Nothobranchius furzeri: one gene and its partners. The protein of the gene in region 5 interacts with the protein of the main gene of each other region in a biochemical or structural test. Links are inferred from orthologs where the notes say so. Each region holds a gene or a part of one and is shown on either strand. Other genes may lie near its edges.

Region 1 (4,795 bases), on a different chromosome or scaffold from region 5:
AATACCAAGAGGAGAATATTGAAGGATGCTTTGCCCCCTTTTTGGAGGCACTCGCATGTTTAGCTAAGCTGCTCATTCCACGATGCACAAATACAACAGAAGATGGATTGGAAAATATTTGGCTTAAAAAAATTCCAAGAATTTTTAAATGGCACATTTAGAATTATGTCACCGTTTCGCAGGTAAAACATGAGTTAAAAAATTATCCCGCTACAAGGGCTATTATATTTTAGTTTAAGTGTTTTCTGGAGTTTGTTTTTATTACCAATAATACAACTAAAAAAAACAAGTAGTCTATCTAGATATGTGTTGCAGCTACTAATACAAAATGAAATGTGCTTAAATGCTATATGCCAAAGGTACATTTGCCTCCTGTTTACCACTGCTTATACAACTCAGAAATACATGTTCAGTAAGCATTTTTTCCAAGTTCTATGTATAATTTGTCTTAGTTGTAGCTCCAAAACATACTTCCATGTACTTCTTTTATTAACGGTCTCTGATTTTTCCAAGTAAGGTGAACTAATCAGATTTTACAGTATATGACAGGGGTCATAAGCAAAACTGGCCATTTAATGAAATTTCATTTAAAAACAATTAAAAATAAGTTATGTGGAATGATTGGACAAATATTCCTTATGAAATAATGCTTGTATCTCACAGAAAATTTAATTAAATAAAAATCCAGCTGAATGTGATGATAGTTAAACGTCATGGTCAACAGGCCATGGGGACATGATGCCTGATGTGAGCATACATGAGGACAAAAAATGGCTCCAAGGGCAGTTAATGGAGCTTGCAGCGGTAGTACAAGCTCACTGGCCTCCATCAGAGGACAGAATGATGCTCTTGTCTGGTACTAATAACAGCCATGACCTTGACCTCCATTGGCACAGCATGTCTGTTAATTATGGAGCCCGATGGGACCGACAGAGACACTGAAACAGACATGATGCATCATGCAAGTGCATGCATGTGGGCACGCACACATCCCTATGTTAATTTCCTGAAGGTTCTTGTTAATTTATTTGACTCTCAGGAGCAACATGACCCCAATCCACTGCACAGACTTTCTCTCTATCTAACAAACGCCCACACACGCTCTTCCCTCACACACATTGTGCACAAGCTCTGCCTCTCTTTCCTTATCTGGTTGCTTGCACTTACCAATCAGTCCGCAGCCCTACGGTCATAATGTGGGCATTTAATAAAGCCACTGCTACAATGAAACAAATTATGTTCCAAAGAAGATAAACCTTCGAGCAGAGGGGCTGCCTGGAGCTGGCCGCCAGCCATTTATAGCCAAGCGCAGACAGGCCACAAGATATAAAGGGCTGTTCTTGGTGTTTTAAAGTAATTTCATTCAGTAGCTACATATATCATCGAGATGACATCAAATTTTAATAACTTATCTTGGAAATTATTTGACAGTTGACTCAGAAACTAAAAATAAAGAACTGATGGTCCTGGTGTGATATTACACATATGAATTTAAATGTGAAAGTCCCTTAACCAAGTTATGTCAACTGGTTTTGGTTGTTTAAAGGTGCAATAAGTAAGAAGTTTATGGTGAAATAACCACTTAACCTTCTAATGACTCTATCCAGTTGGAAGGAAGGTTACATTGAAATAGATGTCCTTCTCATCGACTGGTGGTTGCCAGTTTTTCTAACAAGAGCTGAAGAGAAATGTAGCCTTTATATTTTTTTTTACCTTCTGTCCCGCCTCCATACTTCCTGCTCCGAGAGCCAGTTTTAGCATCTGTAATTTGACACCAGCCAGGAAAAGGCGGCAGCATTGTGGAAAGAACGTTGGCCAATCAAAGGAGGGGCCCAGAAGCTATTTTTTGTAAACCTACAAAGGCATGGTATTCTTATTGTTTTACTCTATTATCGGGTGAAGTAGGCTAGAGGCTAACATTGAGCTAACAATGCTAACAGTGAACTAGAAAAAAATTGCTGGCTACTCAAGCAACTTTTTCCCAGCAATTCCAGCAACAACTTACCAGCAACTCAATGTTATAGTGAAATGTTTTTATCTACTTATCAAGCCAATGTGTATGACTAGTCTCTGCTCATCTAGAATCTTCTAGTGCTGATCTGCAAGGCCGGATTATGGGCAAACTGGGCACAGGCCCAGGGGCCCACAGCTACAAAGGGCCCACGCAAGCAGCAGTCTTTTTTTTTTCTTGTGCAGCAGTCTTAACGTTGGAGAAAAATGTTGACAAGTAATGAAAATTGCGCCCACATTTTCTAAGTTAACACAATTTATTTTAACAACGGTAGTTTTTGCATCTTAACTGTTCCTGCTTCAGCACTCTCCCCCTGCACAGCGGCCGCAAACTCACTGATGCGCCTGCAGCCTCTCAGAGTTCCTGCTGCTCTAAACATTGAAAGGGTCATTTAATTTTCTGTTCCTCACTTCTGGTGTCTGTTTGTTGCAACAGATTACATTTTACAGCAGTCTGATCATCATTTAAATACATAAACCATCACCTGGCTTCTAGTCCACGCTATCACCATTATTTTAATTGGTGTGTGTGTGTTTTCCACTTCAAACACTGGTCTAACCAACCAGACCAGTGTGTCCAGTAACATATTAATGTTACAACTAAACAGTTTCACTTCATGTAGGCTAGGAACATTTCACCTGCCGTGGCCCGACTGCTTCTGCTCCACATAAACTTTGTGCATGATCAAATGTCTCAACAGGTGCTTTCTGAGCTGAAGAGGTTATTCTGCCTCAGACAGACTGGATGTGTCATGCGTGCCCATATTGGAGACGGGAACAAGCGCTATTCAGCCAAAATTTCATAATCAGAGAACATTTTTCCAGGTGACACATCCCTCAGAGAGACAGCATTTCCAGACCGCTTCAGTGGAAGGAAATCTTACCGCATCACTGTGGTTCTGCGCTGCACTACAAACCCCTCTACAGATCTTCAGCTCATTGTCCGTGTTCGCTCCCAGCCGCGCTGAGCAGTGTCCAGTGTAAAGCACTGAAGTTCTGATGAGAATCTTTTCTTGATTTATTTAGTTACCCCCGAGATGTGCGTAACGATTAAAATGTCAGCTCATCTGTGTGCGCATCAGTGTGCATTGAGGTAATTCTTTCATAACAACCAACATTTTTGAGTTTATCCGTCAAAATAAACAGTCAAATGGAAATATCTGTAACCTGCCATTTAACAGTTTTGCCTTCTTGTGAAGATTTTTTCAAAGAGAAACTATTAAACTTGATTAACCCCAGAGCCATGCGCACTGCGCTGTACTCCGTGACTGTAAATGAGGGGGGAAAACGATTTAATCGGATCTTTTTCTTACCTTTTCACCATGGTTGAATGTAAAAATTTCATTGAGTACAAACTTTAGTTGCACCAATCTAATGAGACAGAGCCCGGATTTGTATTCTGAACAGTTTAAACATGTTTAAAACGGAGACATGCGTGACGCGTCTAAAATTCACACCTGCTCAGCTATTATGGAAATTAAACTAACAAGATGAATAACATAAAATTATTTTAGGCACAGACAACATCCCCCACACTTTTGAAAAGCTTGCAACATGCCTGCCACCAGTTACAAATTGTGAAGGGGAATGATTTTCACAAATGGCAAGAATAAAAAATGAACTGAGAACAACACAAACTCAACAGCGCCTCAATGCACCATCACTGATGGCAATTGAATCTCAGCTTGTCAGGAATCTGGACTTTGATGACATTGTAAATTAATTTACTAATATAAAGGCCAGAAAGCAGTTTTTCTGAAGGCGAGAGGAGACCAACAAGGAAACAAAAAGAGGAAGGAGCCAGGAGTCAAGAGGAGGAAGGAGACAGGAGATAAGATGAGGAAGGAAGCAGGAGACAAGAGGAGGAAGGAAACAGGAGACAAGAGGAGGAAGGAAACAGGAGACAAGAGACAAGAGGAGGAAGGAGACAGAAGACAAGAGAAGGAAGGAGGCATGAGACAAGAGGAGGAAGGAGACATAAGACAAGAGAAGGAAGGAGGCATGAGACAAGAGGAGGAAGGAGACAGGAGACAAGAGAAGGAAGGAGGCATGAGACAAGAGGAGGAAGGAGACAGGAGACAAGAGGAGGAAGGAGACAGGAGACAAGAGGAGGAAGGAGACGGGAGACAAGACGAGGAAGGAGAAGGGAGACAAGACGAGGAAGGAAACAGGAAACAAGACGAGGAAGGAAACAGGAGACAAGACGAGGAAGGAAACAGGAGACAAGAGGAGGAAGGAGACAGGAGACAAGAGGAGGAAGGAAAAAGGAGACAAGGGGAGGAAGGAAACAGGAGACAAGGGGAGGAAGGAGACAGAAGACAAGACGAGGAAAGAAACGGGAGACAAGAGTAAGGAGACATGAGACAAGAGGAGGAAGGAGACAGGAGACAAGAGGAGATAGGAAACAGGAGACAAGAAAAGGAAGGAAACAGGAGACAAGAGAAGGAAGGAGACAGAAGACCAGAGGAGGAAGGAAACAGGAGACAAGAGGAGGAAGGAGACAGGAGACAAGAGGAGGAAGGAGACAGGAGACAAGAGGAGGAAGGAGACAAGAGGAGGAAGGAAACAGGAGACAAGAGGAGGAAGAAGACAGGAGACAAGATATTTAACCCTTGTATCAACATAAGTAAGCGAGTTTTAATATTAACAATGTTATGAAATGTCTAAAAAGTGCTTCTGGGTGGCAGCAATGTTGGGGGAGGCCGGGTGGTGTGTGTGTGTGGGGGGGGGGGGGGGGCTGCAATGATAATCTGGCTGTAACTGGCAACAGTTGCTTAGAGAAGAA
Region 2 (4,000 bases), on a different chromosome or scaffold from region 5:
CGTGACGCACTCATTTCAGTTCAACTCAGATTATTTCTTTTGCGCCAAATCACGACAAGAGTCGTCTCAAGACACTTCACAAAGTAAACATTCCAGTTCAGGTCAGTTCATTAACCTATCAGTAAAAAGTTTCCTATATAAGGAACCCAGCAGGTCGCATCGAGTCACTGACTAGTGTCAGAGTCTTTACAGCAATCCTCATACTAAGCAAGCATGTAGCGACAGTGGAGAGGAAAACTCCCTTTTAACAGGAAGAAACCTCCAGAGGATCCTGACTCAGGCCTAGTCCACACCTAGCTGGGTTTTTTTAAAAACGAATATCCGCCTCTCCAAAAACTTGCATCCACACCACCTCGTTTAAAAACAAACTCTGTCCACACGTACCCGGATAAATACGTTGTTAAGGACATGCCAGACCTGTAGGCGGCAGTACTTCCCCCGTTCTTAACCTTGTCCTTCGTCTGTGGTCTTCCGCAAGGAGCAGTAATTCCGCTTGCAAAAACAAACAAGCAAAAAGCGCTTGGACAATTGATAAAGCGAGCGCAGCTCTGAGGGCATCCATGCTGTCAGCTAGTGTAAACACAGGTCGCACACGTGATGTCAGCATTTTTTTGTCGCGGAAAGTGACGTTGCGGACCTTAAAACTCCGGTTTTGTCTGTCCACACGCAGACACCCAAAACGGAGAAAACGCAGATCTTCACTTTGGCCGGAGTTTTTAAAAAGATCCGTTTTTGTGTGAAAAAACTCCGTTTTTGTGTGGATGACAGGCCAAAACGTAGAAAAATATCTACGTTTTGGCAGATCCCCGGCTACGTGTGGACAGGGCCTCAGTATAAGCAGCCATCCACCACGACTCACTGGGGATGGAGAAGACAGAGCACACACACACACACACACACACACACACACACACACACACACACACACACACACACACACACACACACACACACACACACACACTTAACAAATATACCCCAGCTTCATATAAGAAAACCTAATTGGACCAGTGTTTGGGCCATGTGGGATGGGATTGGACGTGTTATGAAGCAACAACCATATTTTCACATCTGGTGGTTCTCTAGTCAATCATCCACCTTCACTAGGGTGGACAAACAGCTTCTTGGAACTTCTTGTTAGCGTTTTGATAACGTTACAAACTTTTAAGTTCATTCTGATTTCTTCTTCTTAGGATGACAATTGGGGCGAGACCACCACAGCCGTCACGGGCACATCAGAGCACAGCCTCTCTCAGGAGGACATTGTACGCATCACCAAGGACCTTGAGGACAGCGTGGGGCTGAACTGTCGCCTGTATCTCACCAGGACCATCGCTGTGATCCTGGGCCTGCTGGTGTTCCTCACGCCGCTGGCCTTCCTGGTGCTGCCACACATCCTGTGGCCAGAGAAGCTGCAGAGCTGCGGGACGGCCTGCGAGGGCCTTTACATCTCTGTGGCCTTCAAGCTGCTCATCCTACTGCTGGCCGTCTGGGCGCTCTTCTTCAGACCGGCGCGGGCGGGACTCCCACGTGTCTTTGTGTTCCGGGTCCTGCTCGCAGTGCTGGTGTTACTCTTTGTTGTGTCCTACTGGCTCTTCTACAGTGTCCGGATACTCGACGCTAAGGTTTGTGAGGAGAATTAATGCCAGGCGTGAAATACGAGAGCTATAACTGTAAGCCCGGAGAGTAACTAAAAATAAAAACAAATCCACACACACACACACACACACACACACACAGACGAGGGATTTTAGAGACTAGAGTGAGAGGTCTTGAGCGCTGCAGACATGTTTATTTTCAATGCCTTGAGCAGCTAAGCTAAGTGAAAAACACAGCCGAAGCACAGTTTCTGGCTGCCCCAGTGATGTGTGTGTTAAGTGTGTGAGTTATCATTTAAAATCCCTCTTGATGCTTCTTTCACCATGTTTGAGAAAAACAGACCAACTAAAGGTCTAAAAGGCTTCCGTCTTTAAAATCTGCCCTCATATCTAAAAGCTCCGGATCTAGTCTCACACGTTTAACCTCCCGGAGGGCTCGTCACGAGGATTCTGCGATTTAAACACATTCTTACAGTCAATAAGGTCAAAAGATTTGATTGTTTTGTTGAAATGTTTTTGTTTGTGCAGGATGAGAACTACCAGGGCATCGTTCAGTACGCCGTGTCCCTGGTGGACGCGCTGCTCTTCATCCACTACCTGGCCGTTGTCCTACTGGAGCTCCGGCAGCTCCAGCCGTGCTTCTCCGTGTGCGTCACGCGCTCCACGGACGGCACGACGAGGCACTACAATCTGGGACAGCTCAGGTGAAGATAAAAAACAAAAATCTTTTTTGTTTTGTAAAAGGTTTCAGGTTTTTTTTTTTTTTTTGTTCATGTTGGAAGAAATAGGAGAATATCCAAATTCAGGGTATCCGCGGGTCCTTAAAAAGTCGTAAAAAGTCTTAAATTTGCTTTTCCAAATTTAAGGCCTTAAAAATCTTTAAAACTGACAAATAATCCTTAAATACAGTTTCCAAAGGTCTTAAATTACCAAAGACCCAATAAACAAGATTCTTTTATTTCTAAAAAAAATTTGTGAATTTCTAGTGTTCAGCATTTTTTGTGTACGATGTTGGCGTAAGCGGAACCGTACACATTCAGTGAAAGGGGACTATTTTTAGAAGAGCACATTAGCTGATTAAGCTAGGGGGAGCTTGCGCCATGGGAAAGTGCAAGTTTAATGGTAACTGGATGGCTAATCCCACGTTCGCGACGTTCCAGGCAATAGCTGGAAATCATAGCTTAAATTTAATTTTAAAAAACAGCTTAAATTTGGTCAAAGTGGCCTTAAAAAGGTCTTAAAAAGTCTTAAATTTGGCTCCCTTAAACCTGCAGATACCCTGAAATTGTTGCGCTCTGTTATTAAATTTTACCAACTATTCTATTAAACTGTTAAATCCACGAATATTCATATAATGTTTTTGTCAGTCTGTCAGTACCGTGGCCCAGAAGGTTCAATGAAACACAAAAGCCACAATGCTGAGACCAACAACAGAAGTGATAATAGTACAAAGTTCAGAGGAAACAAAATTAATATAGATTTGTAGTCAGTCAGAACTTGTGCTAATATGAAAGTTATGCTACTAGCTTAGTTACATCGACATTATGAGTAAATAAGGGAGCTGGTCACTGGACTCACTACATACGTGTAAAAGCCTATGGTTCAGAATGAAGAAGAAGAAAGTATCATTTCTATAGCGCCTCTCAAGATAAAAATCACGAGGCGCTTCACAAAAACAAAAAATGTAAAAAGATAAAAAAGCATTTAGAAAATGTTTAAAAATATATTTAAAATGAGCAAAAATAGACAATTGTGATTTAAAAAATGTAAAGAAAGAGAGAGAGTGAACAGGAAAGAGGGAAATCAGTGGATCCTGAGGAAGGTGGAATAGGTGGGGAGAGCAGAATAAAGAGAGAGAGGTGAAGAAGGTCATACAAAAGCCAGCTTGAACAAGTGAGTCTTCAGCTGCTTTTTGAAGGAGACCACTGAGTCCACTGATCTCAGGCTCAGGGGGAGAGAGTTCCAGAGTCTGGGGGCCACAGCAGCAAATGATCTGTCACCTTTGGTCTTTAGCCTGGTGCTGCACAACCAGTAGGCTTTGATCACTGGACCTCAGGGACCTGCTGGGGGTGTAGGGACTAAGAAGATCACCAATGTAAGATGGTGCTTGTCCATGTAAGGCCCTATAGACCAGAACCAGGATCTTGAAATGAACCCTGAAGTTGACAGGCAGCCAGTGAAGCTGGAGGAGAAGCGGGGTGATGTGGGTGTGTTTGGAGGACTTGGTCAGAAGCCGAGCACAGGCATTCTGAACCACCTGTAGACGGTTCAGGGAGGTTCTGCTCAGACACGTGAAAAGAGAGTTACAGTAGTCTAAGTGTGAGGAGATGAAGGTGTGGAGAACTGTCTCAAGTTCAGAGCGGGACAGAATGGGACTCAGCTTAGCAACGTTCCTGAGATGG
Region 3 (4,443 bases), on a different chromosome or scaffold from region 5:
TATAAAAGAAAAAAAGAGATGGGAGTGGTTCTCCTTCCCAAGACTCATCTGAGCTCTACAGGTTCTGTTCTACAGAGCAGGATCTTCAGATCCAGGATGTGAGATCCGAGTCAAAAATGAAAATTAAGCTCTGGGGTTCTGCAAAAGCTAGTTACCTAGCAAAACAGGTGAGCAACCAGAGGACCAATCATTGCCATGGATCAGCAGAGAAAACCAAACAAACATCCCAGACAGCAGCTGTTTGTTGCTGCTGCTTGTCCTCAGACCAAACATGAGCAGCTCTATTCTGATCTGGGTCCAGCCTAATGCAAGCTAATCAGATGAAACATGATGGAGCATAATGTGATTTAGAAAGCTATAATCTGATGTGCCAACAGCAGCCCAGAGGTCAGATCGTTTGGACTCTCAGGCTGCTGGAAATGCTGGCCAACGGTTTCTTCACCCAGTTTCTCTGAGAGGCTCTATGGAGCTCAGCCTGCTGGTCTCAGATCAGAAACGGGTTCATGCAACAGAAACCAGTCTGTGAATTCCAGATGGTGGCTCAAGTGGACAGGGCAACGATTGGAAGGTGCACAGTTCAATCCCAGACCCCAAGCAGGCCATGTGTGACCTTGCACTCGGTGGCGTACAAGTCACTGCTCCTCAGGGATGTGCCCAACGCAGAGACACCATTTCCCTATGAGGACGAATAAAGCATCAATTACTATAAATATTATAAACCTGTAGAAATCACAGATATGGCTGACCACATACAACAAAAACATGTTCTTCAACGAAAAACCTCAAGACTGGAAATCAGAGAGGGAGATAATCATCCAGCACCAACCAACCAATACAAATGGCAACCAATTAGTACAACCAACCACCAACCAGTACCAACTAACCAACCACCAACCAGTCCCAACCAAGACCAACTAACCAACCACCAACCAGTACCAACCAATACCAACTAACCAACCACCAACCAAGACCAACTAACCAACCACCAACCAGTACCAACCAATACCAACTAACCAACCACCAACCAGTACCAACCAATACCAACTAACCAACCACCAACCAAGACCAACTAACCAACCAGTACCAACCAATACCAACTAACCAACCACCAACCAAGACCAACTAACCAACCAGTACCAACCAATACCAACTAACCGACCACCAACCAAGACCAACTAACCAACCAGTACCAACCAATACCAACTAACCAACCACCAACCAGTACCAACCAATACCAACTAACCAACCACCAACCAAGACCAACTAACCAACCAGTACCAACCAATACCAACTAACCAACCACCAACCAAGACCAACTAACCAACCACCAACCAAGACCAACTAACCAACCACCAACCAGTACCAACCAATACCAACTAACCAACCACCAACCAAGACCAACTAACCAACCACCAACCAGTACCAACCAATACCAACTAACCAACCACTAACCAAGACCAACTAACCAACCACCAACCAGTACCAACCAATACCAACTAACCAACCACCAACCAAGACCAACTAACCAACCACCAACCAGTACCAACCAATACCAACTAACCAACCACCAACCAAGACCAACTAACCAACCAGTACCAACCAATACCAACTAACCAACCACCAACCAAGACCAACTAACCAACCAGTACCAACCAATACCAACTAACCAACCACCAACCAAGACCAACTAACCAACCAGTACCAACCAATACCAACTAACCAACCACCAACCAAGACCAACTAACCAACCACCAACCAGTACCAACCAATACCAACTAACCAACCACCAACCAGTACCAACTAACCAACCACCAACCAGTACCAACCATTACCAACTAACCAACCACCAACCAGTACCAACCAACCAACCAACCACCAACCAGTACCAACCAAGACCAACTAACCAACCACCAACCAGTACCAACCAAGACCAACTAACCAACCACCAACCAGTACCAACCAATACCAACTAACCAACCACCAACCAAGACCAACTAACCAACCACCAACCAGTACCAACCAATACCAACTAACCAACCACCAACCAGTACCAACTAACCAACCACCAACCAGTACCAACCATTACCAACTAACCAACCACCAACCAGTACCAACCAAGACCAACTAACCAACGACTACCAACTGATTAGTACCAACCAACCACCAGTACCATCTAACCAATAAGTACCAGCTAAACAGCCAGCCAACAAACAGACCTAGCTCAGTATGGTGACAGAACCGCTGACACCACCAACCTTAACTCTCCTCAACAACAGGAAGTGTTTCACACCTGAGCAGCGGCGGAGGGATCTGAAAAGACGACAGCAGCTGGACACCGTTTCCCAGAATGCTTCACGGTGACGTTTACTGCAGAATTACAGCATTGGGATGTTTTCACCCTCTGGTGTGATGTCAGCAGGTGCTGTCACTGCAGGAGTGTGTGCGCGCACTCACACTTGTGCTGTAGAAAATTGTGTGAAATGGATATAAACATCTGTCAAAGTGTGTGTGCGTGTGCGTGCGTGCGTGTGTGTGTGTGCGCTGACCCCGGTCGATGAGCCTGTCGATGTCCGGGTCCAGGTCTTTGAAGAAGCACTCCCTCCACAGGCCGAAGTGTTTGGGGAACAGCGGCCTGCCGCACTCCGTCTCCAGGATGCCCATCCCCAGGATGGCCCGCCAGTTCTCCAGCAGCTCCTCCTCTCTGCTGCCCACATGCACGGGCTTCATCAGCGCCACATCCCGCTGCCGGGCTCCGCCGCTGCCGGTGTCCACCAGCGGCAGGTGGTAGATGGGCATCTCGCGGTTCTTCTGGTCGTTGGAGTCGGAAACGTCGCAGTTCTGTTTGTGTCTGCGGGTGTCGGTCTCATACCAGTGGTCGGTGAAGATGGCGGTGACCAGCAGCAGTAAGGACAGCGAGCTGAGCGCGAGGCTCACCGCGGACACCTTCACCGTGGCCGGCCGGGCTCTCTCCATGGCTGGGACATGGACCGAGCCGCTCCCACTCCCGTTACCGGAGCGGGTCCCGACGCTTCCGCTATTTCCGTTACTGGGCATCTTCTGCTGACATCCTCGCGCGCATCCTCGTCAGCTGTTCTTCGTTTGCCCTCGAGAGCTCGTTGTCATGCCGACTGACGGACTATCCGCGCTGCGTCAAGGTAAACACTGGTAACACTGCGGCGCCGGAAGTGAGCTTCCTTCAAAATAAAACGTTTTTACCGGAAGTACATCTTCCGGAAAAATGTAACACAGCACAGGTAGGCATGTTTACACCAAAAAGTGGTGTGTTTACAGAAAAGACAGGTGTGTTGCTCATTGCAGTGAAAGGTAGTTTCAACAGGAATGTTTACTTTTTTACAGTGTCTGGAGAAGATTCTTGTTGTGACTTGGCACTATATCAATAAACTGAATTGTTTGTGTTTTATAGCAAAAACAGGTTTGCTCGCAGCAAAGACAGATGCTTAATTTAATGACTTCAAACAGCTGGATTAGGCCTTCTCCCACAGCGTTGACTCTTATATAAGCGAATCAGGAGGACCGTTGCTGCATTTCCTTGGAAACCAGGTGACCGTGGCCTTGTGGGAAATCTCAGGTGACTGCAGCTCTCAGCCTCTCAGAGGGAAATACGTAAGCTTGACTTTTCTGTTGATCAATAATTCAACATTCTCCCTGTTGGCTTCTGCTGCTTCCTGTAACACAACACCTCCTTCCCCCCTACCTACAGTCTGTCACCGCCAACCTGCAGATAACTACCTGTCATCATCAGATCTAATGAATCAGATGTTTTTACATGATCATTCACCGGTTAGCCTAATCACACACACACACACACACACACACACACACACACACACACACACACACACACACACACACACACACACACACACACACACACACACACACACACACACACACACACACACACACACACACACAGCTTTGCTTAGCAAAACTGCCTCCAGATTCAGCATCATCTGACCTTTTAACACAACTCTTCCATCCCGTCGGTGCTCAACCAAGCTTCCCCTGATAGGGTCTGGTTTTCTACACAACACCTGACAGGAAGCTGCGTCTTCTTTCCTACAAATTTTACATTTTTACAAACAGAAGAATGTTGAAGAAAAAAAATCAAGAAAAGGTACAAACTGATCAACAGGAGAAACGTTCTGTCTAAAGCAACAAGAACTCATTGACACTTATATGTCCAAATAAAGTTTAAAGGGATTTTGATGTTAGATGAGGTGGACTAGGAAGATAATCCTAGCCCTACCAGTGTACACTCAGCAGCTCCAGCAAACTAAAGCTGAGGAATCAGACCAGGGGTCACTGGCCAGGATGGAACAAAGCAGAGGTCTAATTAACGCCCAGCCAGAGCCCATTCTCTCTCCGAGGTGTGAATATCCTCTCTATGATGTGCTGAAACAGCAAGATGATAGAGGTCAC
Region 4 (4,000 bases), on a different chromosome or scaffold from region 5:
GACAGATAGCAACATCAAAAAAGGTTGCTACACATATACGCGTCAGTACCTGTGATGCAGTATGTGTGTGATGGTGATGGTGAAGAGGCAGAGCAGGAGTGCTGCAGTGCATGCATACACCACAGGGTGGAGCACTCTGACAGCAATCAGGCTGGGGTGTGGAAAGTCAGGCACTTCCTGGAAAATTAAAACACACACAAGTCAGAAGAAAGTCTAACCTAGAGGATCCTAAATGATTAGATCATAAAATCTCCTCCCCCACCTGAAGCACCGCGTAGTTGCTGAGGACGGAGCAGCGTATTGTTGAGGTGCTTCTGTCACTGTGGACAAGCTGACAGCCCTCCTGGCTCCAGCTTCCCTGACTCTCAGGTCCCCTCGGCATCCACTGAGCTGCCACTGCATCTGAACCGGGAGACAAGTGACGCAGGGACACCCAGATCGGCTCAGAGTAGTTCCACATGTTACAACCATCTGTCACAGTTTGGGAGAAAAGATGAAACTGCATTTTTTAAAAGGACATATGACTGCCAACACTTACTTTAGGAGACGATTCCCAAATGTGCAAAACAAAAATTAAAAATATATCATTTCTTACTAAGGCCAGCAAAGATGACGGGAGAGTTCACACATCTTCTGCTGGAGTGTTCAACCTTGTTGCTTGAGTTTAGTAACAGAGGGAAAAGGCTTCCTGTTCGGAAAGCTACAAACTGCAGTTTACAATCAGCCGCAGCATCAGGTGGAAATAGAGTGGCTGGAAGAGTCACAGAAGCCAGAGCTACGGAGTTCTGCATAAAACAGTAAAACGGATACAAATCTTTAATATTTGGCTCTGAAATCTACTTTCCAATCCTAATATTAGACTAAATAGATCAAACGTGCTGTTAAGGAAGCAGTATGTAGCACCCTCACCTTCAGGGGGAAATTATTGAGGGAGGTGTTATGGGAGCCAGTGCTGCAGCGGAAATGAAGCTGTTGTTCACTGGTGGGGTCTGTCAGCTCCACTCCAGGCCGATTTAGAGACGTTTTACGACGATGGTACGCAGTGCAGGTCATGCCGGTGAAATGAGCTGTTCGAACTAGGTGGGCCTCCATCACAATGTTCTTAGACACCTGTCGAAATCATTTAATACATTGATCATATGAAATAAGTCCAGACACTCATGTTTTTCAAATTAATGATGCCAGAAAGATGTAAAATTGCATTGGATTTTGCGTTTTGATTCATGCATGTCTCCTAATATGAAATCAACAACATTTCCAAACATTGCAATCAATTACACCGTGTGAGCTGTAATGAAATACACACAAATACTTAATAAAAATTCAGATTACCACAGAGAAGTCCTGAGCGTGAGTGTGCAGCTGAGGCCAGGCCAAAGTCTCCAGAGAGTAGATGATGGAGCTACACGTTCTCTTTTCCCTCTGGGCAAGAGCGAGGATCTGATCATCCACCTGCATCAGGTTGCTCCCCATCTCAACCATTATCTCCGACAGCTGGAGCAAGCACACACAAGTTCACACCATTAGAATGGAATCTTTAAACACACTTTTGTTTTATTTGATATTAAATATTTCTCACCTCTCTCAGCTGTTTGACATATTCCATAAACTTTTCCATAATCTGCGCCACGTACAGCACATCCACAGAGTCGGTGAAACCCGCAGCCTCCAGGGTGTAGGTCTGCACTTGATGGGCCACAGTCACAACGTTGGACACGTTGATCGGCCTCTGAAATGTAAAGCCAAGTGACTTTTTATGAAGATTAATGTTTTATTGTTGGAATTCTCAAAAAGACCTTTGTTCTGTGGTACTGACCAGGATGAAAGTGTGCAGAACACGAGTGATGCTGTTGGTGTAGTGACACTCTGAGTAGTCGCCCTCTTGCCACTTTCCAGAGCGGTCACAATACCGAGACGCTCTTTTCTGCTCCCGCTCCCCCTCGACTGTCAGGGAGGGGCGATGCGGCTGCAGGCAGTACTGATGAGAGGTGATGCCTGCCACCGTTCTCGGCCACCTGTGGAACCAAAATAAACACCCAGTGAAATACTAAATTCATTCGAAGCCACTCGTACAGTTTGATGTTACTATGCCAAACCTGAACTCTCCACGGTTGTTGATGATTTTGTCTTCAGGACAGAAGGTGTCGCTGTTCTCCAGCACTACTATTTCAACAGTGCGGGAGGTGTTGCCCCGCCCAGTGGTGACCACACACTCCCACTCCCCACTGGCCTCCACATGGACGTTGAATAGTATCAGCTCACTGAATGAAGACATGTTAGGTCATCATAACACATTATCCCCAAATGCTAAATTAGAACAATGTACTCAGGAATAAACACAAAGCACATGTGAGAAGAACATGAAAAAGAAAGTCAAAGCTGAACCAGATTTTATTTTCTGTACCTGGTGATAAAGGTACAGTCATGCACCACATTATTCTCCAGCTGGACACCCTTGTCTGGGTTGGATGTCACCTCTTGATCGTTGTGGCGCCAGTGTAAGCTGGTGATCTTGTCCACAAGGGCAGCAGTGCAGTGAAAGGGCAGCCGGTCTCCTCTGAAGACCACCTGACGCTGGGATGGCAGCAGGGACATGGTGTGCAGCTCCGGTGGACCTTCTGAGGAACACGGTGGGAATAGTCCCAGATATGGCTGTCACATTTCACTGTAAATTGTTTTAAACCATTGAACTTTTGGTAAATGCTTCCACAGAAGCATATTGGATGCAGACTGCAACAATTTGTCAATAAAACCCATGGGGCTAGCTGTCAACACAGAGTTCTCACACATTTAGTTAACATGTCCCTGCTGAGACAGGACGTCCAGAATGGACTCAAGCTTCATTACAGTGCGACTGTCATTCACTGGGTAATTCTCTCTGAAATAAAGTGGCAAACCGCCTCATTCATGTGTCTCCCTGCAGCCAAGGTCCTCACCACAGCTCAGCTGGCTCTCCTTCAGCGCACGAAGGGGCATTCCCCTCAGGCTACTGGGATAGGCACACAGCGTTTCATCTCCTAACCGCGCCGTGCTGCTGCGAAAGAAGGTCGGCACCCAACGCAGCCCACAGTCACATGACAGGTAGTCTGAGTTGAAGTTCCTGTAAGAAAAAAATGAGCTTAGGTTCAGTCAATTCAAGTTCAAGTCAACACCTATGATTAAATATTTAGATTTATTTAAAACATGATTGGTTTTGGCATTAAAGTAACGATTGGTTCGATTAAACCACCAAATGGTTCCCAATTGAAGCCATGTCTGCAGTTCACCGCTCCCCCAGAGGATGGGTCAAATACAGAGAACATAGTATCAATTTCGATTGTACAAAATGCAAATTAAGGGGGGAAAAAGGAAGGCTTTTAACGCTGTGAAACGAAGGCTTCAGGAGCGCAATGTCAAATATACCCTGGCGTTCCCGGCAACACTACGTGTAAAGTGGATGGGGGGGGGGGGGGGGGGGGGGGAATGTAAGCTTCAACTGGCAAAGGCAGCTGAAAAGTTTTTCAGCAACGAGGATGAGCAGGAGAAGAGGGTGCAAGGAGGGGAGACCCCAAATTCGACTGATTGATGACGTAATCTCGAGGAGCCTGAGACATCTGGTGTCTGACTGTTGGAGAGGGCAGATCTCATCATCTGTCATCTTAGGAGGGGAGAAGCAGAGCAGCATCCTACGGACCCGATAAGGTTTTTGTTTAGGCCCTGTTCATGGGAATGTTTTTTTTTATTTGTTATGTTTTTGGCTGTGTGCACCCATACAGTGGGTCTTTTCTTCAGGAGAGGAAAGGTTTATTTTGTCTAGCATGGTTGCGGGTTTAAATCCTATTGGAACTTACAATTGGAAATGACAGGGAAATATGTAAAATGTATATCTTGGAATATTAATGGGTGTAGAAATACAACCAAAATGCGTAAATTACTATCTTATTTAAAGTCAATACAAGCTGATATAATTTTTCTTCAAGAAACCCACTTAAAGGACGGTGAAGAACTGAGGTTCCAAGGT
Region 5 (4,000 bases):
TCGAGCAGGTCCTCCTACCATACAACAAGTAAAGAATAAGAAGGCAAAGTCGTTGAACCACAACAAACTAAGAGATAAAAAAATAACACTTGCTGTGGCTTACCCCATGTATCTATAGGCATACTTGTAACAATATAAAATGCACATACACAATCATTAACAAATTAAAATTTAACGATAGAAAAACAACATAAATTGAGTGCGGCTACGATATTAAACACAATAGGCAAAACTATTACAAGTTGGCTTCACACATTTATATCTGGAGGTGCTTCTGAAGACCAGATGAAGTCCAGCTGATTGCTCCTTCCAGGCTGTTGCTCCCAGACTTTGGAGCGTCTTATCCGTACGGAGTTCTGACAGCCTGGTGACCTTTAGAGACCCTGTCATTTAAATCTGCTTTAACCTAAATCTACTGTTTTTCTTCTTTTACAACTAGAATTTATATAATCTTTCATTTATTTTATGACATTAATGATCATTTTATAACTTCATGACTATATTTAGTTATTTTTAGGATTATGATTGAGTGGGCTCTGTGATGAGTGCTACAGAAGTAACATTAATGCCAACTGAAGGAAAAATAGCTTTCACATATATTTAATAACAAAAATGCACAGAGTCTTCACCAAGGCAGGCTGCCTAGATGTCTCGTCTGATTGGTTTTTCCCACTGAAATGCCGCTCCAACACCAAACTGGTGTGCCTTCAGAAAACCTCAAACCGTTTAAAAGAAGGATTCACGTCCACTTAAGTGCACGACTCCACACCGGAGCTGACGAAGAAGTCTAAATCAGCCTCTAGTGTCGTTTTGGTGAATGCTGCTCTCTCCCTCACCCGCTCGCCTGCCTCGGGGCTGAGAGACAGCCATTTTTGCCAGCTCTAGCAGCACCGTGTAAGGAAAACAAAATGGGAATATAACCAAAATATCCAGCTTTGTCACGATGTGCTCATCTCTGAACACACACACACACACACACACACACACACACACACACACACACACACACACACACACGCACGCACACACTGCTGCTCTCGTAACAGGAAAAAACCCGGATGTCTATAAAAGTTGACACAACAGATCCCGGACCAGCCAGGAGCGCTAGAAAAAACCCAGCTTTGATGATCTCGTCGTTTCAAATCGATAAAACGATAATCGTTCAGCTCTACATGAAAACACGCCGAGACCAAACAAGTGGACGGGTTCTGAAGGTTCTGAAGTGAGGAGGGGTGGGTGGGGTTCTCAGAATCTATCAGGATCCGGCCCGTCTCCTTAGAAAGGAACAAAAACTAAAAGTTTCCTATAAAAACATAAAAGTTATAATAAAATAAAATAAAAGCAGAACAACAGTTTTTCACTTTCCTGCATCTGTAGCAACTTTTCTGGTTTTCATAGCAACCGCAGATAAAACTATTTCTACTTCATTAAAACAAGAACAATGAGTAAAATTCTGTGAAATCCAAATCAAAGCCTTTGTCTGGTTTCTGATCTGAGAGGATCCTTGTGGGGGTGCTGCTGTTTACTTGTTGTTGTTTACTCACTGTGACTTTTGGGCATCATGTCATCGTTGTTGTCCTGCAATAAGCAGCAGCAGAAAGAAAAACCACAGAAACAAGAAGTTACTGGGTTCCAGTGACAGACGGAGAGAGCAGAGGAGGTGGCTGTCACGGCGTCAGGGCGGCCATGTTGGCTCCAAACAGGAAGAGATAAGAGGAGCTTCCTGTTCAGGTTCCAGATCAGTTGTAGTCTTATCATTTTCTCATTTATCGTATGTGATGATGGCTGCATCACCGCCTGCCCCATCGCCGTGACGACCGCCTAGCATCACGCCGCTACCAGCTGATCTCTCTTCCTGCCACCGACCAATCGGCTGTCCAGTACTTACGGTCGACGTCGCTGGTCTCCTGCTCGCTCGACTCTTTGCTCTTGTAGAACGGAAACTTTCGGGCAAAGAGGTTCTTTTTACGCTTGTCATTGATGGACTGCTGAGGAGGAGGAGGAGGTGATGGGGTAAACACAAACAGGAGGAGATGAGGGGGTTCTGATGGTGTCGGTTCTGACAGAATCAGGAGTTCTGATACTAAAGATAAACAAAACTGTAATCTAAGAACCAAGCTGGATCAGAACTGGGCCATGCGATTCCGGTTCTGACCCCTTTCTGTAGGTATCATGACTGAGGCTGGGGTTTCCCAGAGGGACTGTGAAGGCAGAATAGTGAAGAAGAGGAGGAAGCGTGCTGAAGACGTGCAGAAGCTACAAGATGATCCACTATGGGTCAGGTCCTGGTCCTACCGGACCTGATCTGAAGACAGGTCCGTTTCTCTATCAGCTGTCTATAGAGCTCTGGGAGTTGACGTCACTTCTCCCAGCATGCAACAGTTCAAATTGAAACGGCACCATCTTGGCAGGCAGTAGACCGCATCTAGGCTATTTATTATTGTAAGAAAACTCAGGATGCCAGAACAGACGCGGACGAAACAAGGGAAGAGCCTTCTACAGGATTCCCCAAGATCCGGAACGCCGCAAACATTGGATCATCCTAATAAAACGCGCTAGTGACCGGGCTGAAATGAAGCTGTGGGATCCCGATAGTAAAGGTTTTCGCTTATGCAGCGACCACTTCATATCAGGTACTTAAACCAACGTTTCCTCAACTGTGTATGGTATTTATTTTAAATGCTTTTATTATGATTCTTAGTGGGCTTCCTAAACTTATTTTGGCGTGGCTTTTTCTGTCTTATTACTCATAGCAACAAGTAAACATCACGTAAAATGTTGTCTCGTGCTTCTGCGTGCTGCCGTTTACGTGGTTTATGATCACAGCAATTAACCGGCTAAGCTGTATTTAATTTTAAGCAATGGTTGATCAATTGTCAGATCACACATAAAAATCACTTTGGATTGCTATTATCTGTCTCACCGAGACAGATCTCAGACAGATTCTGAGACGCTCCTGCCTGACATATTTATTTTATTCACGGAAAAAAATCAGTCTAGTGATTTCTCTTGGCGTTCAGTTTATACATTTGTAGCGGAAATCCACACTTTATATCCTCGGGTTAACTTTGTTTGGACTCACACGGAGAAGAACAATAACATTTTCACTCAAAAGTTTCTTTCACAATTAGCAGAAAAAAGGGGGAATTTGAAACTGGCCTACAATCGTATAAATTCCGATTTTCGAACATCTGGCTAACTCCTACATTTTGTCCCAGGAACGTAAATTTTACCACTTCTTTTCCCTCCTTAAGCAATCAAGAAGCCGGACATTATCAGGACTTGGTCTGTCTTACCTCAACCTGCCAAGAACTGACTCTCCCCAAGGCCGGGATGCTTGTCAAACTTCTCAAGGGTCATTCTGGAAGATTCCAGGATTTAGTCTTTATGAAAACCCTGGTATTTTTCAGTTTATCCATAATCAAAAGGTGTTTTAGGTTGTTCACCATTAAAATTCAAGGTGTTCCAAGTAAATGTTTAAACTTTTATCATTTACAAACCTAAACTGCTTGTGTTTTTTTCTTTCATGTTAACTTCTGCCATTGTGTTTCACCAGTTCAAAACCATTCTAAAAGTGATACAGTCAAGCTTAAGACCTGAAGTTAGTTCTTTTCTGTTTAAAGTCATACTTTTTGATGCTTTATTTGGAATTACTTTGTTAAAATTGTGAGCATGAATCTCTCATGGTTGGAAGACTGGGTTATTTGAAAGAGCCACAGTGCCATCAAGTGGTTAATGAGTGAAATACATGTGGGTGTGACCAAGAAGTTTATAAAACCAGAGTTCAGACCTCGTTCGCGGTGGTAGGAGAAATAAGAAAAGGATGCCTTAAGCACAAATCCCTGCGGGCTGTTTCCATCTGGCCTAGCAGGACCCGGCGCTTTACAGTTGTCAAGTAATTAGCTCTCAAAAGTTACGGTAAAACTTTGAAGCAGCTCAGTTTGTTTTGTTTTGACTTCCTACGTGAAACCAGAAGTCTGCGTGTTCGGTCGAGTTCTCA
Region 6 (4,552 bases), about 27 Mb from region 5:
AAACTGTTTTACTGAACATACAGTAAATTACAATGTTGTTTACTTGTTAAATTTACATACTGCCTCATTATTTTATGCACGTTTTTAGTGTGATTTTATAAGGGATATTTTGTTAAAATAATGATTTTTTTACTGTATTTAGGTCACTGCCGCTCTTGCACTAGCTGAGCCTAGATTTTAACATGTACTGTTTAACCATGAAATTTAAATGTAGGGTAAGACCCAGTGCATTTAACATAACGCTGCGTTTTTGAAAATGTGTTGAGATATGACATGTTTGTGGAGCTGGGTTCCGACTATCGGTATGGTCCCCTCCCCTCAGCGGCAGCTCGGCGCATCTCTGATCGCAGCGGCGCCTGTCCAAATAATATCCAAAAAGGAACGCACAAATGCTTCAACTAATGGTCTAAGTTGAGAGACTGAAAATGGCGGAACAGTTTTCAGGCGAGGCCGAGGCTCAGGCTGAGGCCTTTCCCCAGCGCTAGCGCTGCAGTCACGTGGGCCTGATGCTCATTAATTATTCAGAATTTTAGGCATTTAATACACTTAAACAGAAGAGTGACAAAATTCTGCCCCCTCAGAGTTGTCATGAGTGTAAACTAGATCATTTAAACCTAAAACAAGTTTTGGAACCAGGCTGTGAACATGTTTATTTCTGCTGTGAATTTGGTACTTTTAACATGGGAGTTAATGAGGATTTGCTCGCTTCTGACACCAGCCCCTAGTGGATGAGGGTAGAACTGCAATTTTTTTCACTTCCGTGTTGGCTTCAGTTTCAGACCCGAATTATGGGGGCTTGTGTCAGACCAGCGGAAGGGGCACAACGCAGTTTAAAGTACTATTGCCATAGTAACGTCCACCATTGACAAGAACAGTGGTGGTCGGACAAAATGAAAATTAAAATACTTTTATTTAGAAACTTTTAGAAAATGTAGTGGAGTAAAAAGTACTGATAACTGCTTTAGTGGAGTAAAAGTTTAAAGTAGGCCTTTTTTATTCGATTGAATAATTTTTTCATACTAACACAGGAAAAAGGGAAAAAGGATCATAAACCTATCTCAGCTTAACCCCCCCCCCCCCCCCCCCTCCCATTGAAAATCACATACATCGGGACCAAAGCCTCGACTTAAGAGGTGCTCAATGTTGTTCTAAGCTTTGCTGCCATGGAGCAAACACTAACCAGCTGTTGCACGCCTGTGGCACTAACAGTTCTCCATATATAAGTAATAATCTCCATCACCAGTGGGTGTCGCTGCTGACGCTGGTACCCAAGCGGTCTGCCAGTCTGTCTGGCACGGATGGGGAGGATGTTTTATTGTGAGCAATGAGAGAGAGAGAGAGAGAGAGAGAGAGAGAGAGAGAGAGAGAGAGAGAGAGAGAGAGAGAGAGAGAGAGAGAGAGAGAGAGAGAGAGGGAGGGCGCGGAAGGGAGGGGAAGCACCTCTGCCGCTCTCCTTGCCTCCTGTGCGCAGTGCTCCGGCCCAGCCGCTCCTACCTTCCCACATCATTTCCTCCCCACAGCTGGCGTCTCCCCTCTGTCTGATGCAGGCTTTCTTCTCACTAACCGAGCTGGAGCAAAGACTTCGGAGGGGTGGAATGACCGTCTGCCTGCTCTGCATGGTCTGAATCTCGGGAAATTCGCACGTCGAGAGTCAAGTGGGAAGAAAGGAGACTCTCCATCCCCGAGGGATTTTATTTTACAGTAAGCAGGCGCAATGTCATTCCTACCGCTTCCTCTTCTCGCTAGAGCCCGTCTCTGCACCTCTCATCTGTTCAAAATGCTTGACGGGAAAATTGTTGGAATGTGACAGCCTGCTGGGAATATGGCCGGATGTAGTACATGAGTGGATGAGTGCGCCAGATGTGTTTTTAACAGATTTATTTAGCGCCAGTTTACTAAAACGTGTGGTGTGAATGGTGTCTTTGTAATTCTCGTGAAGCGCTGATGGGATTTTGCGCGCTTGCGTTGATTCTGCACTGAGAACGGGATCCCCCCCCCATTTCATCTCAGCTGGCTGTGCATCAATCCATCCGAGGCCGGAGTGTGTGGGGGTCGCAGCGATGAGCGGGGGTTTGCTGTGGAAACGCTTTTACTTTCTGATTGACCCAAATTTGAGCGATATTCGGGAGATTATCGCGCGTGACAGCGGCCCAACGTGCTCTGGCTGCGCGTCTTTGTGCCTTTGCAGAGAGACGCTTGGACCTTGTAGCCTATTTTTTGTTTCCCTCTGCCGTCATGAAAGCATGTGCACGTTTATGAAGTGCACCTTGCTGCATGAGCTCCAGCTCCGTGGTGATCACTAAAAAGACTGTTTCTGATCAGTAGCAAGCTGTTTCTCCTCTTCACCCTGGAGTAATCTCACTCATCACGCAGCCAACGCCGGGTTTCTGTTTTAGCAGAGATCCTCAGAACGTTTGCTCCTTGGAGCTGTCTTAGATTGTTTTAACTGTCCTCTTTGTGCTTGAGACACGCCCTTCAGAAGCATGCAGGTTACTCTAGCCATGCTCAGCTCCATGCTCTTATTTCATTAATCTCTTGGGTTTTTAGTGTTGTTAAACATTTGACATGCCCAGTAAAGATGTCTCATCCGCTATATGTCCGTTATGCTAAGGGAAACATGGCCGAGTTTGGCGGTTTATTAAATGATTTAGACCAAAAGGTGCATAGCAGGCAGGTGATAGTCCAGAAAGGTGCAAGGATGAAAAAAATACCTAACAATTAAAAGTGACAGGGTGATAAAGACGAGGATCTGGTAGTGGACGTGCAGATGAGTGAGTGCAGGTGAAGGATGACAGATATGAGTAAGAGGTACAGGTACAGATGAGCTGAGGAGAAACAATATGAGCCCTTTTGACATGTTTTATTGAATGTAGACAGTGTGTTAAATCAAAAATCAGCATGCGGAAATTTACGTGACAAAACTATGAATGTATAAGAAGTTATACAGTAATGATTATATTCAACAGAATTATAATAGTTTCTTATATTGTACAGCTCTAAATGAGAGAGTAGAGAAAGTCTACTGTGGCTGCATCCCATTTAGAGGTTCTGCTCATTAGTATTCGAACAACCAAAGTGTGCAGCCACATGTTTGGAATGCTGCCCTTGTTAGTACATGTGTGCTTCTCCTCGTCTTGCCAGTGAAAATGGGTCCGCTGAAAAGTGAACACACATTAAAGGCCGTGGTAGTTTTGCTCATTCATGCATGAATTATGACAGAGGTCAAGGGTGGACCCCCCCCCCCCTCCTCCACACACACACACACACACACACACACACACACACACACGGGCTGCACGGTGGCGCAGTGGTTAGCACTGTTGCCTGGCAGCACGAAGGTTGCAGGTTCGAAACTCGGCTCAACTGCGGCCTTTCTGCGTGGAGTTGCGTGTTCTCCCCATGCATGCGTGGGTTTCCTCCGGATACTCCGGTTTCCCCCACAGATCACAACATGCCCTATAGGTTATAAATTGTAAGTCGCTTTGGATAAAAGCGTCTCCTAAATGAATATACATAAACACACACACACACACACCCTCTCCACCCCAACCATCCTTATTCATCTTTAGGTGCAAAACACATACGTTTAAACTGAATTTGAACTTTGTTTCCTTCAAAACTTTTTTTCAAATATCCACTCAAACATGCATTTAGATTTGTGAAAAATCGACAAATTATTGACTCAGCTGCCCTGGGGCGCACTGACAGGGGCGAGGCCACCGGCCACTCCCTTTCCAACCACCATCGGCAGACAAGGGGGGTGTAGGGTCTTGCCCAAAGACACAACCTAGCCATGAGCGGGGCTCGAGCCTTCAACCTTAGGATTACTGGGTAGGCACGCAACTCTTCTGCCACCATCGCCCCATAATTATCTTAATTAAATGATAAAAATGCCATTGAAACTTAATTCACAGACATAATTAGCAGCCAATAAAGTGATGCACTAGAATCAAAGTGGTGGCTTAATTGCAAGTATCCCGACAGCTTCTGTCTGACCATAGTGCATGAAAGGGTTAAACATCAGGGGATCTGCTTTTGAGTGTTTTGTGAATTTCAATCAGTCAAGTCACTTTCATGAAACAAGGTTAGAAGATGTTTGAATTAGCAAGTTTCAGCATGATGCCCTGTTTATAATCTAGTTAAAAGCTTTTTTAGCAAGCTTTTGGTGCTGCTAAAGTAGGCTAGCGGTCCATGCCAGCTGCGTTGCACGGTTTATTCTAGCAGGTGAGTATGCAACTGGTGAAGAGCTCTGGGCTGAAGTGTGAAAATCCCCTGAATGTAAATGGAGTTCAACAAAATATCTGTAAAAAACGTTTAAAACTAATTATTTTGTAATGATTACTTTAAAGAAAACACATTTTAGGTATAAATGTGGAACACAAAAAATTCCACAAAATAACAAGAAATACAGAAGAGATCATTAGAAAAATAATTCAGGAGTGCTTTAGGAAACCTTAGTCTACTCAGGATTGCTCAATTTGCCATCATCCAAAATCTACAAAGCCAACCACATAAACATTATTGTTTAAGTTAAAGTTTGAATTAAATCTTT
Region 7 (4,782 bases), on a different chromosome or scaffold from region 5:
GTATGAAGAACACTACTGTAGTGCGGTTCCTGACACTTCCACGTAGCACCTGTGTCTCATAGAATGTGGTGATCAACAGTATCAAATGCTGAGGAAAAATCAAGCAAGAACATTATTAATGTTTTGCTGGAGACAGACATGCCAAAAAAAATGTTTTTACGTGTCATATTTTGGCAATCTTGAAATTATTCAAAAAGTACTTGACAGACTCAGAGATGGTTTGACTCAAACTAGGGAACTTGTGCCATAATTGCGACAGGTTTTCACAGAAATGTTTATAATATGTTAAATAAAGATGATTAAAAGTCAGATTCAAGGGGAAATTTAAGAGCTGTGAAAACCCACTTATATGGAAAACATTAATCTAGATACCTCTGGATCAAAAGAGGAAATAGTGAGCATATTTCACTAGTGAGATAGAGACAGGCTTAAATTAATTGCAGCGATGTGCAAAATTTATGAGTCATCAAGTGTTTTCTAAAGGTTTTGGACAGATTTGCATGAGCACAGCCAAACGCAAACGTGATTAATTTCTGAAATCCCGAGAGGCAAATGTGTTTTCCTCCAGACTCGATGGAGGAACTCAGTTTGGAACTGCTTTTGTCTTGAACTACAGGTGAGTGTGATTTTTTTTTTCTAGGCCAACACAGCAGAGGAACAAAGTCAGCATTTATTTCATTTCCTGCATGATCACTGGTCATGCTTTGATTTTTAGTTCCAAGAGCTTAAACGTGAAAGATAATGTCAAAAGTATTTTGTTGATACCTTTAACTGGAGAGCAGATGCTTCACGTTTGCACTGCTCAGCAATACGTCCGTCGTGTGCTGCAGTCCACATGTGAAAACCACAATCAGAAGTAGATTTATGGCACATAAATCCTGGATGATCCTGAACTTTAAGTGTTCACATTTTATGACCATAAAAGGAGAGTTTATGTTTTTAACCAATAATCTGTGTTTTACCAACAGTAGATGTTGGCACAGCCGTAGAAATCGGTTGTCCCACAGCAAATTCTCTGTTTTCTAATCAGTAACGGACCCACTCTATTTTATAAAGTGCTCCAAAACATGTGGCAGTGGTGCTCACCAGCATGATCTGATTTAACTTCTAGGTGAAACAGGAACTGGGAGAATAATAGAATGTCCCACTCTTCCCTTCCATGTCCATTTGTCATCAGACCACATTCCTGTTTCTCTTCTAGCGAGGAGATTGAGCTGCACAGCTCTGTGCGATGTGGGAAAAATAGGAATTAAGTTTGGGATCATGAGAGTCAAGGTCGAGGTCTCGACTTTTCTTCTTTCGACAAAAGCTTGAAGTTGGTGAAACAAATTTTAACATGCTTCATGTTCCACTCACGTTTCTCAAGTCTTAGTAAAAGTGAGCTTTAAATCATTATTTGTTTGAAGGTAAAAGCTGCATAAATAGTTTTTAATACATAAATTAATGTATATATCGTGAAACAATGCACCATAGAAAACAACTAAACTGAATCGTAGAAACCGCCACAAAAAGATTGAAAAAACCTAGAGGTGTTTATAGATTTAACATAAAAAAAAGTAAAAAACACGTCTGATTTCAGATGAAGAACTTAGCTCATATATCTGAGACAAATCGGTAGATAAATAATTATGTAGTGATAAAAATGCATGTTGTAAACAAACTTTGAGAAGGTACACTTGTTCAGAACCCTATTTCATTGACATGAGCACCCTCTAGCGGTGCACAGCGGCATTACAATAACTGCATTAGAGAGTGGTTTTGTCATTTTAAAAGCGCACTTTTTAGAGAGCAGCAGTTTGTCCCTCTTCAGCTTCCGTGTCTGCCTTAGTACTAGTTTGAATGTTCAGCGCGGTTTCTTTGTTGAAGGAGATTATTTTTAGATCAGACAGCAACAAAAACTCGGGTAAGGTTACGTTTATCAAATTAAAGTTGATTCTCATTGGACTGACATGAAATCCTGTAAGGTGCTAAAAGATTAACGCGGTATTAACAGCGTTTACAGTTGGTTTTAGCCTTTTTTAACGTTAGGTTTGGCTTCCCCTCTGTCGTTTGCCTGGGTGGTTTCTGTTCAACAATATTACATAAGACTGAGTATAAAGCGTATTTCCCGTTGTTAAACATGCTTGTACTTTTCATTTACCTTGATTTAAAATGGTCCAAATCCTGCTACATTACAAAACAGAAACATTTCCTCAATAACACCTTTGCTAACGGGCCTTGTGCCAGCCTCCACTCAAAAGTTGTCATTTTATTTCCGTTCTTAATGGTAAACGGGCAATTAGACATTATAGATCGGCATTGTTCTATCAAATATATTAAACTTTCAATCGGCGCTATTTAAAAGCCCTCAAACTCGTTTTGCTATTATTGTACAGTTTAACATCTGATCAAAATAACGTATTTGCTAACTGTTATTTTTTCCGTAAGGTCCAATATTGTTCTTGAACGGAATGGCCTCCCATCCAGTCAACGAGGGCGCGTATAAAACCCCTAAAAGGGTCGGGTCAAAGGGCTCCAACAGCAGCAGCTGTGGTGACAGCACCCCTGTCACCATCCCCGCATCACCTTTCATGAAGAAGCTGGGCTGCGGGACTGGAGTCGACGTTTACCTCATGAACAGGTTTGATGTCAGGGGCTCACACAGCACCTCTTCCTGACATCAGGGTCTCTTCTAAACTTCAAACCACTGTTTCTCCATTCAGATGGATGATTAAGTGATTATTATATCTGAAAGTGAATCATTTCAGCTCCAGTAACAAATGTATGTTTTTATCTCTAGAGTGGGAAAGCTGAATGCATCGCCTTGGGCTGTGAAGAAGATCAACAGTAGATGTGCATCCAAACAGGCGGACGTTTATCAGAAACGTCTCAATGAGGAGGCGGAGGTCCTAAAGGGAATCGATCACCCAAACATTGTTGGTAAGCCAGCCTTAACATGCATGAGTGGTTTTTCTAATTCCCACAAGATGCTCACATCATCCTGGACACCAAAGATGTGTCATCATTGAATTTTCTCAACAATAAACAACCACTGTGCAGATTTAGCTCATTTAAAGAGCAAGTCACCCCCTACCAGATTCTTACTCAACTCCCACTTCCTGTTTGACAAATGCAACAAATGCTGTTGCCTAGCAGACCGAGAGGGCGGAGCCGCTATCAAATACACACACAGGCTCACAATGATATTGTGACATCATATGGTACCAGCTAACGTTCTAGGGTACCTCTTAGCCAATAGTGATGGCGGATTTAAATTCAAAAGTAGTGCAGAGTTTTTACCTGACTACGGCACAACACTGACAGTTTTAGGCAGAAAACTGACTACACGTGTCTGCAGCACTATTAGACACACATTTATATAGTTTATCAGGGGGGAAAAGTTGATTTGGGGGTGACTTGCTCTTTAAACATACCGTTGAAGTCTGGAGGCTGTATGAGATTGACCGTTTTCACAACTCTGTTTCACTCGCATTGTTAATTCTGTCTTTTTGAGGTTTTCGTGCCTTCACTACAGCCAAAGACGGCTCCAAATGCCTGGCGATGGAGTACGGAGGAGAGCAGTCCCTCAATGACCTGATCGAGAAGAGGAAGGAGGAAGGTCTGACCGCTTTCCCTGCCGCTGTTATAGAGAAGGTGGCTCTGCATGTGGCTCGTGGCCTGATGGTAATTAACTTTATTGTCAAAGCTTGGTGGAATGAAACATTATTCATTATCTTTCCTGTTTTAAAACAAAACTTTAAACATATTTGCTTTGCAGTATCTCCACAATGAGAAGAAGCTGCTGCATGGCGACATGAAGTCGTGCAATGTGGTCATCAGAGGAGACTTTGAGACGGTGAAGATCTGTGATGTTGGCGTTTCTCTGAAGTTAGATGAGAACATGATAGGTAAACGTTCACATTCAGCTCTTTACTGGCAACACAATATGTATTATTTCTACATGTTTCTGCTATGTTATGAATTGAATTACAGTATGGCTCCATCGCAGTAAATAGAGTGCTCTCTCTCTCTTCAGTGGCTGACCCAGAAGCAGAGTACATCGGCACAGAGCCATGGAATCCCAGAGAAGCAATATTAGGAGGAGAGATCACCGATAAGGCGGACATCTTTGCTTTCGGTCTGACTCTGTGGGAGATGATGACTCTGGCGATGCCTCATGTGGATTTGCTGGAGAATGATGAAGAGGAGGAAGAATATGAAGGTGAGAAGTTCTGTAGGAACATTTCAAGGTAGAATTTAGTAGCTGCTTCCTTTGACTGGAACATTACAGAAGAAAAGTGTTGTGTGGTGAAAGCTAACAAGTTTAACCATTGGGTTTATTTCAGAAGACTCAATGGAGGAGACATTTGATGATGAAGCCTACTATGAGCGTTTAGGAACACGACCGCCTCTGGACACGGAGGTTCTGGGCAGCCCGTACCGCAGGGTGGTGGAGCTCTTCTGCGTCTGCACATCAGAATGTCCTAAGATGAGACCATCGGCAGCTCAGATCGTCCAGGCTCTAGAGGACAACGCTCCTCTGGGCACGGCTGCGGAGGCGGCGATCGTTATCGACTGATTCACTCAACAAGCACATGTTTACATTTCAGTCTAAATCAGAAGTTCTCAGTTCATATTCCCCACATTTGTTTGTTCTGTAGATTGTTTTTGTCTGTCAGCTTTTCCTGTATTTGTATTCGTTTGTGTTTCTGTCAAACAGTAAATGTTACAATTCTAACAAGTTCGTCCCAATTTTTCCAACATTTCCAATGAATCAGGAGACAATCTGCAGTAATGAGTCAA

What was found.
Region 1: the proteins of dlg1b (region 5) and gucy1a2 interact in a test that uses a peptide from one of them, tested with the Homo sapiens proteins (2 studies listed by IntAct, with this or other methods). The link is inferred for Nothobranchius furzeri from reciprocal best matches to the Homo sapiens genes DLG1 and GUCY1A2.
Region 2: the proteins of dlg1b (region 5) and vang-like protein 1 interact in a test that uses a peptide from one of them, tested with the Homo sapiens proteins (2 studies listed by IntAct, with this or other methods). The link is inferred for Nothobranchius furzeri from reciprocal best matches to the Homo sapiens genes DLG1 and VANGL1.
Region 3: the proteins of dlg1b (region 5) and tmem178a interact in a test that uses a peptide from one of them, tested with the Homo sapiens proteins (2 studies listed by IntAct, with this or other methods). The link is inferred for Nothobranchius furzeri from reciprocal best matches to the Homo sapiens genes DLG1 and TMEM178A.
Region 4: the proteins of dlg1b (region 5) and adgra2 form a complex in vitro, tested with the Homo sapiens proteins (2 studies listed by BioGRID and IntAct, with this or other methods). The link is inferred for Nothobranchius furzeri from reciprocal best matches to the Homo sapiens genes DLG1 and ADGRA2.
Region 6: the proteins of dlg1b (region 5) and ctnnd2b interact in a test that uses a peptide from one of them, tested with the Homo sapiens proteins (2 studies listed by IntAct, with this or other methods). The link is inferred for Nothobranchius furzeri from reciprocal best matches to the Homo sapiens genes DLG1 and CTNND2.
Region 7: the proteins of dlg1b (region 5) and pbk form a complex in vitro, tested with the Homo sapiens proteins (2 studies listed by BioGRID and IntAct, with this or other methods). The link is inferred for Nothobranchius furzeri from reciprocal best matches to the Homo sapiens genes DLG1 and PBK.

The regions. Positions count from the first base shown.
Region 1 is NC_091753.1:35,473,990-35,478,784, forward strand, and holds the start of gucy1a2 (guanylate cyclase soluble subunit alpha-2), read right to left. Parts: upstream 3,126-4,795; 5' UTR 1-3,125. UniProt on the Homo sapiens protein: Has guanylyl cyclase on binding to the beta-1 subunit. Isoform 2 acts as a negative regulator of guanylyl cyclase activity as it forms non-functional heterodimers with the beta subunits.
Region 2 is NC_091754.1:55,610,535-55,614,534, reverse strand, and holds part of vang-like protein 1, read left to right. Parts: intron 1-1,193; coding exon 1,194-1,625; intron 1,626-2,126; coding exon 2,127-2,302; intron 2,303-4,000.
Region 3 is NC_091746.1:29,271,062-29,275,504, forward strand, and holds the start of tmem178a (transmembrane protein 178A), read right to left. Parts: upstream 3,153-4,443; 5' UTR 3,055-3,152; coding exon 2,547-3,054; intron 1-2,546. UniProt on the Homo sapiens protein: Acts as a negative regulator of osteoclast differentiation in basal and inflammatory conditions by regulating TNFSF11-induced Ca (2+) fluxes, thereby controlling the induction of NFATC1.
Region 4 is NC_091757.1:39,981,242-39,985,241, reverse strand, and holds part of adgra2 (adhesion G protein-coupled receptor A2), read right to left. Parts: intron 3,101-4,000; coding exon 2,937-3,100; intron 2,619-2,936; coding exon 2,405-2,618; intron 2,262-2,404; coding exon 2,097-2,261; intron 2,016-2,096; coding exon 1,817-2,015; intron 1,730-1,816; coding exon 1,580-1,729; intron 1,495-1,579; coding exon 1,333-1,494; intron 1,111-1,332; coding exon 910-1,110; intron 786-909; coding exon 596-785; intron 472-595; coding exon 263-471; intron 178-262; coding exon 50-177; intron 1-49.
Region 5 is NC_091751.1:34,825,874-34,829,873, forward strand, and holds part of dlg1b (disks large homolog 1), read right to left. Parts: intron 1,989-4,000; coding exon 1,889-1,988; intron 1,579-1,888; coding exon of another isoform or gene 1,545-1,578; intron 1-1,544. UniProt on the Homo sapiens protein: Essential multidomain scaffolding protein required for normal development. Recruits channels, receptors and signaling molecules to discrete plasma membrane domains in polarized cells.
Region 6 is NC_091751.1:61,421,691-61,426,242, reverse strand, and holds the start of ctnnd2b (catenin delta-2b), read left to right. Parts: upstream 1-1,411; 5' UTR 1,412-1,701; intron 1,702-4,552. UniProt on the Homo sapiens protein: Has a critical role in neuronal development, particularly in the formation and/or maintenance of dendritic spines and synapses. Involved in the regulation of Wnt signaling.
Region 7 is NC_091742.1:11,217,399-11,222,180, forward strand, and holds pbk (lymphokine-activated killer T-cell-originated protein kinase homolog), read left to right. Parts: upstream 1-1,774; 5' UTR 1,775-1,839; coding exon 1,840-1,903; intron 1,904-2,427; coding exon 2,428-2,620; intron 2,621-2,779; coding exon 2,780-2,919; intron 2,920-3,493; coding exon 3,494-3,663; intron 3,664-3,757; coding exon 3,758-3,887; intron 3,888-4,015; coding exon 4,016-4,201; intron 4,202-4,325; coding exon 4,326-4,558; 3' UTR 4,559-4,720; downstream 4,721-4,782. UniProt on the Homo sapiens protein: Phosphorylates MAP kinase p38. Seems to be active only in mitosis. May also play a role in the activation of lymphoid cells.